2 linked regions of the Drosophila melanogaster genome follow. The gene in region 2 interacts genetically with the main gene of each other region. Each region holds a gene or a part of one and is shown on either strand. Other genes may lie near its edges.

What was found.
Region 1: of g (region 2) and p, changing one enhances a phenotype caused by changing the other (phenotypic enhancement), as found in Drosophila melanogaster (one study listed by BioGRID).

The regions. Positions count from the first base shown.
Region 1 is NT_033777.3:8,668,529-8,672,454, forward strand, and holds the start of p (pink), read right to left. Parts: upstream 2,157-3,926; 5' UTR 1,972-2,156; intron 1,401-1,971; coding exon of another isoform or gene 1,297-1,400; exon of another isoform or gene 1,001-1,296; intron 647-1,000; exon of another isoform or gene 553-646; intron 178-552; exon of another isoform or gene 84-177; intron 1-83. Other genes in the region: CG8036 (uncharacterized protein), read left to right, coding at 1,297-1,400, 3,183-3,926. UniProt on the Drosophila melanogaster protein: Has a role in the biogenesis of eye pigment granules. Eye pigment granules are specialized forms of late endosomes or lysosomes. Biogenesis of pigment granules in the eye requires molecular components required for protein delivery to lysosomes.
Region 2 is NC_004354.4:13,734,427-13,738,352, forward strand, and holds the start of g (garnet), read right to left. Parts: upstream 1,853-3,926; 5' UTR 1,615-1,852; coding exon 1,516-1,614; intron 1,264-1,515; exon of another isoform or gene 1,105-1,263; intron 313-1,104; coding exon 217-312; intron 1-216. Other genes in the region: Grip91 (Gamma-tubulin ring protein 91), read right to left, coding at 2,676-3,380; CG11134 (uncharacterized protein), read left to right, coding at 3,823-3,926. UniProt on the Drosophila melanogaster protein: Part of the AP-3 complex, an adapter-related complex which is not clathrin-associated. The complex is associated with the Golgi region as well as more peripheral structures.

The sequences.
Region 1 (3,926 bases), on a different chromosome or scaffold from region 2:
TACTATTTTATATATTTTTTATGGGGTACGGGTGCTACTATAAAAACAAAAACGAATTGGATATTACAAAAAATTACAAAAAATCCTTCGAGCCGGATTTGAACCAGCGACCTATGGATTTCTATTGCATAATTTTCCAACTACAGTCCACCGCTCTACCAACTGAGCTATCGAAGGTTGAGTTCAAACTTGGCCGTTGTTCGTTTTATGCATGCGCACAAACGAAATGCACCGTATTTGGTTATTTATTTTTGATTTTTACTTATTTAGGTCAAACAAAATTGATCAACTTTCTCTATTCAGTCCATTGCAGTAAGCCTATAGTTTCCAAGCCTAATAGCCTAGGCGCTTTTCACAAACTATATCAATTTAGTTACGGTTTATTTCTTCCAAATAAAATCCTTCTTATATTATTTAGTTTAAACAGCTCAGTTATATTCTGAATGTCTGTAGATGAATTAAATTGATTTAAATTGTGCACTACAAAATATATAAAAAAAAAGGTATGTGCACTACAAAATATATAAAAAAAAGGTATTTATATCTTTTCGATCCTTCGAGCCGGATTTGAACCAGCGACCTATGGATTTCTATTGCATGTTTTTCCAACTACAGTCCACCGCTCTACCAACTGAGCTATCGAAGGTTAAATTCGCTTGCGGCTAATTCACCTTTTGTTCAGGAGCGAGGTGGGGAAAGTGACAAAAAGAGAGGGCACTTCTCTTAAACACCGCTGCTCTTTAATACTCGCGGCCAGAAAAATAGGACCTTAAATTCTTGTAAACTTATATTAAATACTAAAGCATTGTAAATCTTAATGAGAAAATATTCAGGTACAACTGTTCATGGCTTAATTTTAGACCAAAATTGTGCATGAATTTAGAAAGGCAGCAATGCACTATTTGAAACTAACTAGTTACCCACCCACAGCTGTGCACCGATAAAGGGGTGGTGTGCGAGCAAAGATGCCATATTTATACATATATCCATCTCGTTCCAGCGCCGACGATAGACGATACCGATACTTTGCGAGTCCGCTCCCAAGATTGAGCCCCCACAGCGTAAAAGCGACCGAAGTGCCGGCGACGAGAGCAGTTCGTTCCCAGAAGCCGGCAGCAGTGGTCCGTTGATAACTCCGACTCGAGCTACTTATCCACCACGTCGATACTCTTGTCTGTCTATTGCAAACATAGAGGAGTCACCCTTTGGCTAACGAATCCGAAACTCCCGAGTTTTGTTGTGCAACATATCAAAAACCGCATTTGTTCGGATCCAATTTACATTCGCATTTCAAAGATGTCGTACCACAAGCCCGAAGCTAAGACCGTCCAGGATCTGAAAGATCTGGCCCAGAAACTGCGAATTCACTCTATCAACGCCACCCAGGCCTCCAAATCGGGGTAAGTTTATCAATAACTGAAAGTCCATAGGCATATTAAAGTGTGCGTATTTAGATTTGTTTGTGTAGATGTGAATTTTAAAAGTTGTGCACCTTGCACTTGTTGCTTCAAAGGTGACCCCCTCCATTTCCAGGGTGGGTGCGAAAAAGTTTTTGAGGGGGCTGCTAAATACATACATACATATGTATGTGTTTTGAAACATTACAAAAGAAAATAAAACAAAAATAGTTACGCATATACATAGTTATGCATCTATGTTTGTATGAATGTGAGAAGTAAAATATGGGAAGACCGGTTCCTTTAGTGACCCCTCCTGGGATTCAGTTGCCAACCCACGTGTTGTCCAGTAGCTTTAGTGAATTTGCGAATTTGTTGCCCTGCCTGCGTGCTCAGTGATAAGCCGCGTTCACCTACCTTAAATTGTGAGCTAATATTTTTTGACCTTAGACAACCTTGAAACGTTAGGTTTTTCTTACTGCCTTTTAATTTCTTTTGCTTTTGTTTTGTGCGTGGCGTTCAAAACGCCGAAAGCACATACATATGTACATGGGGTAAAAACAAACATACTTACATATCAAACAGAGGCATTTAATATACGTATGTACATATGTACATACAAGTGTTGGAAAGCACAGCTTGTGACGGGAGTGGAATTGGAAAGAGAGGGATGAGAATAGTAATGGAATGATCCCCTACACTTGAGATTTACGACTGTATGGCTTTTAATGTAATTATATCTCGGATAGACGCGATCAAATTATTACTGCAACAGTAAATAAAAAAGTTACTATGCTGATAAGGAAAACACTTTTATCGCCTCCATTAGTTTTTCCATTCTGTTTCGTTTTTTTTTTTTTTTGTGACGGTTCAAGATAAGATCTGCTCTGTTTGCTCTAAATGTGACCTCTGCCGACGAGATAAGCCCGGTTTGGTTACTCATTGACCACGATATGACCGATTAGAGGTGACCAGCTCAAGTGTGTTCCCCGCATGATAATCGAAAATCACTGAAAACTGATAAAAAAAAAAAAAGCGCGCCGGGTCACTGCTAACACTCCGTATCACCTTCAATAGTTCTTGATATGGCTGCAGGAAACGGGGACGCACTTCGGAACTATCTAGAAGCACGTGCGTTCACAAAGATCGCCATGCAACACAATCGTGGAAGCCAAGAATTTGGTTTTTAAGGCTATTATTTAGGTTTTTTGGTGATCAGAAAAGTTCAAGGTCCCAGAAACCGGTGAGGAATTGCGATGGACTCACGTCGCGACAAACACACATATCACACCATATAACGCCAATAAATACATATGCATGTACTCGTTATAGTTTATTTATATGTCTGGGGTAAGACGAGCCCCCCATTTTGTCTGGGGTTGCGTGTTTTCTTTGCGGTTGGAGTTGTGCCAGATCTGCGATTCAAAGCAATTTTTTTTGGAACACGATCGCATGGGAACATTGAATTCCAAGAATGGATCTTATCTTATTTATATGTACATTGCAATTGGATACTCGAGAAATCTTCATTTGAAATATGAACAGAGGGGGGGGGGGGGGTTTAAATAAAAGCTTCAATAGACAAATGGATTTCTTTTATTAAACAACGTTTTTAACAAGTATGCACAGTGTTCAGTTCCACTTTTCCTTTGTTGATCGGCCTTCACTTACCCACCGTGAGGTCGACTTCTATAATTCATTAGGCACTTACCTTAACCTAGAACTACATGCAAACGAAATGCCTTGTCACAATCTAATATTTTGCCTACTTTTCCCTCTTTATAGCCATCCCACATCATGTGCCTCGATCGCTGAGATCATGTCCGTGCTGTTCTTCCAGCAGCTGCGCCTGAACCTGAAGCACCCACGCGATCCCTCCAGCGATCGCTTCATCCTGTCCAAAGGACACGCTGCTCCCATTCTGTATGCCGCCTGGGCTGAGGCTGGTCTCTTCCCCATCGCGGATCTGAACAACCTGCGCAAGATCGACAGCGATCTGGAGGGTCACCCGACGCCTCGTCTGAACTTCATCGATGTGGGCACTGGATCCCTGGGACAGGGTGTCGCCGTCGGCGCTGGCATGGCCTATGTGGGCAAGAACTTCGACAAGGCCGACTACCGCACCTACGTGGTGGTGGGTGATGGTGAGTCCGCCGAGGGTTCCATCTGGGAGTCGCTGCACTTTGCCGGCCACTATAAACTGGACAACCTTTGCGTGATCTTTGATGTGAACCGCTTGGGCCAGTCGGAGGCCACCTCCCTGCAGCATAAGCTGGATGTTTACCGTGATCGTCTGGAGGCCTTCGGCTTTAATGCCGTCGTTGTCGATGGTCATGATGTCGAGGAATTGAGCAAGGCTTTCCATTGTGCTGCAATCACCAAGAACAAGCCCACCGCCATCATTGCAAAGACGTTCAAGGGCAGGGACTTCCCCAACATCGAGGATTTGGACAACTGGCACGGCAAGCCACTGGGCGACAAGGCCGCCGAAGTGGTGAAGCATCTGGAGGGACTGATTGTCAACAAGAA
Region 2 (3,926 bases):
TCTGCACTGATGATTCTAATGAAGGGGAATCCTGAATCCTCTTTGGGCTGTCGGTGCGTATAATCAGCTTATTTTTGAACAGCACATTTGCGATTGTCTAATTAACCATTTTAAAACACCCCTATAAATTTTAAAAGTCCCTCATCATTGTTCGCAAATAGTGAGTTAATCATCTGTGGTGCGTCTTTGGTTTAAGGATTCCAAGATTCAACTTACGTAGGTCAACTTGGCCACTGCATTACACTTGACACTTATATTGTCCTGTCGCAGCTCCTGTTTGATCTCCTCAATGCACGTCGATATGTATTTGGCCTGCGGAGAAAGTTATTGTCAATCAATATGTTTATATTCGAAATATAGTATGTGAAAATGCGAAATGTGCAATGGCAGCGCAGAGTAAAACAACAAACATATCTGAGAATCGTCGTGGGGCTATCAGTTTTATGCCCACAGCAATAGAACAAAAATAAAGAAAAACACAAATTCCAAATCATACAGTGGCGGGTAGAATAATAGTGTTGTTGCATTAATTCCGATGCAGTTGTTAATAAAATCGAATGTAAATATACAAAGTTTGATTGTTTACTCTTCATTTGTGCTGTACAAAATGGAAATATAATGGCCGCCTTAAGTTGTTTACATGAAAAGTTATATGGAAACTGCGCTAGCTGATGAGTAACATTTAGTTGAGATTAAAAATGCACAATTTTCAATTAATATTTATTTTTTTATCTTACTGAAACGAATGAATGCTATAATTTTAAGCACATTTGTAAATCAGCGCTTACAGTGGACCACACAAGAGCAAAAATAACAATCGAAATGCGCAGTGGAAGATATAGAAATCGAATTCAATCAAGAGCCACTTATTTTTTTGTTTACGTAGACAAACTTAGTTATTCTTGCATATATTCTTATTTCTCAATTGTTCTTGTTGCACGATATGCAAACCATAACTGGATGGAAACTGATTTTTTGGCAATTTATTTATTATTATTTTTATTGCATTAATATTTGCAATTACTAACAATCGAAGCAAATGAAGCTACAATTTTATTTTTGCAAATCACACGCAATTTTCTCTCCGTGTGAAAACTCAAGTACCGTTAGCCGATCCTGCCAAGCATTCTGATAAGGACCGAATAAAAAGACCAACGGCGGGGGAATTAACGTGGGTAAATATTTGATAAAAGCCACTTGCTAATTAATTTGGTGCGTTGGGAGTTTCTGCGTTCGGTTTTGTGGTTCTTTTCAAGCTTTTCCTGCTTTTCCTTTTGCACTGTTGGCAGATGCCAAAACATTCACACACACAAACACACAGCCACTTTCACCCACACACACACACACGCACACATGCAAGCACACCAAACTCTAATAAGATTCCCTTAATGCAAACGAAATTTGTCAGCCAATTAGCGAGTTCTAATTGGACGCACAGCTGGGCCGCTTGGGGGGGGCGTGGCAGTTGGAGGACAGCTGTTTTGGTGGGCGGTGGAGGCGGGGCTGCACGCTTACCTCATTATCCTTGTTGTTCCTAATGCCGCGCACCAAATCGGTGAGGTTTTTATCAAACATACGCTCGAAAAAGTTACCCTTCACTTTTTTCAGTGCCATGTTTGCAGTTGCTGTTGTTTTTGTTTTTCTTTTTGCTGCACTCCGTGGCGTTACTTTGATTTGCAATCGGTGTCTCGATTGGGAAATTGGGCTATTTTGGCGAAGCGATTTCAGCACATCACCGGCGGCAGCACAAAGCACTCACTTCCGTCTTTTTCCGATTTGTTTTCGTTTTTTTTTTAACTTTAATACGCTCGCAAACTAGAGGTGGTACGCAAATTTGTGTTTAATCGATACTATCGATGTTTGCTGCACGTTGGTGGTTGGCTACGCTGAATAGTAGGTGGCTGCACTCGCTAGCGGTGAAATGTTAACCGCTTCGTGGACTGTCGATAACTCGCTGCGCATTCGATTACAAAACCGTTTTGAGATCAGAAAGTTTGAGTGAGAGTGAGAAGGAAATAATATAAATAACTGAATATTTCGGCTTTCTTTTTATACGCATTTACAATAATTGAATAAATAACTATTACACTCTTATAACCCAAATTTTTGTAATTTATAATAATTAAATAGAGACGGAAACTTTCAATGCAAGTTGCGTTTATTTCGAGCTCGCATTACGGTTTAAAACTGTTCAAAACATTAACTTTTTTAAAACATTCTTTTAAAGTACGTAACATTCTCTTATTCTCTTTAATTACAACATGGCAATTGGCAAATGCACTTACGAAAATCTATTTCAACTAAGCTTCGATGTAAAAAAAATTATGGGATTCGCAAACAAAATAGAACGTTGCGTTTTTCGACAAACAAATTGTCGCTTAATACTTTCGTTACAACTACTCAATAATTTTGTATTGGAGATATCTTAAGTTGATGGCTTGCAGCCAGGCGATTGACGGCAAAGCTTGAGATATATATGTATAGAGGTTGTTTTCGATTCGAAGGCTTAGTTAATAATTGGATTAGTTTGTTTGGTTGGATTGGCTCCAATGATATCGAGATATCTCAAATATTTAGCAGCAATTGAACTGAATGGAGTGCTGATGCTGTATGGGATTTGGGATTTGGTATGATGTATGGACACTGGGATAAACCGATTGCATGGACATTGGTCGCTATTCCTGAGTGGACGGCGTACATATCACGAAGCGACTGTTCACGGCGAACACATTGCTCATGCGCATGTGCTCGAAGGTCAGGGGTTTGCTCAAATTGGTGTCCCTCTTCTTGTAGTACTCGTTGAAGTCCAGCCGAGTGCCAAAGAGCTGCAAATTCGGATCGTCGCTAGAGTTGAGAGACATTAGGAAAGTGCTGACAGCCTTTTCGTAATCGGTTGCTATGACTTCTAAGCCGCGGCAGGCGATGTCCATCTTTTCGGCAAATATCTTCGCCTCCTGGTCGCGCTGCAGGATCATCTTGTTGGTCAGTCCGTAGACACCCTTCTTTTCCGATTTCTCCACAATTTTGGACAGTTCCTTGCGGGCATTTAGCTCCTTAAAGCAGTCCTTGTAAAAGCTCGACTGCCACTTCTCCAATTCGATAATGTTCTCGTACACCACCTCCAGCGAATGCTCCACACTCGCTTTGTTGCTGACAAAACAGCCCACCAAAATCGTTTGCAGAAACTTCTCGTGAGCTTCCAGGATTTCGTCCAACGTAGTAGCCTTCTGCATCTTCTTCTGTAGCTCCACCCAGTTGCACTCGATGACCTCAAATAGCACATAGTACTGCATTTGGTGGATAAAGTGCATGATCTCGGAAGTGAAAAGGTTGAGGCGGTGTGACGCCTTGCCGATTTCGGACTTCATTGTACGAAGGGCCTGAAAAGATGTTTAATAAACAATATAATTCCAAAGGTGAGCCACATAAAAACAAAAAAGTTTATAATAAGACTTACAGAATAGGACTACTCAAGAAAATTGAAAAAAGTTCAAATGTAGCAAGCTTATTATATTTATACTTGTAAAAAACGTTTTCAACAGCGCTATGAAACATTTTTGAGGTAATACGGTGATAATAATATCTTGTTCTCTTAATGAACTATTGCACATTATTCAATTTTCAAAAAACCATTTCTAATTGGACAATGTTTATCGTAACGGCAACGCTGTGTGTTAACAGCGATACACCGATTGCAATCGTCTATCGACGGCAGCATTGTTTACATTCGTGATTTGTCGCTTTCAGAATCCCTTTATCTCCCGTTATCAGTGTCGCACGGCGACGAAGATTACGTCCCACGAAAGTCACATTGTCAGCGAGATGGCCCTCTCGATCTTCAAAGACTTGCCGGCGGAGCATCCTCGCCACTTGATTCCCTCGCTATGCAGGCAATTCTATCATTTGGGATGGGTGACCGGCACAGG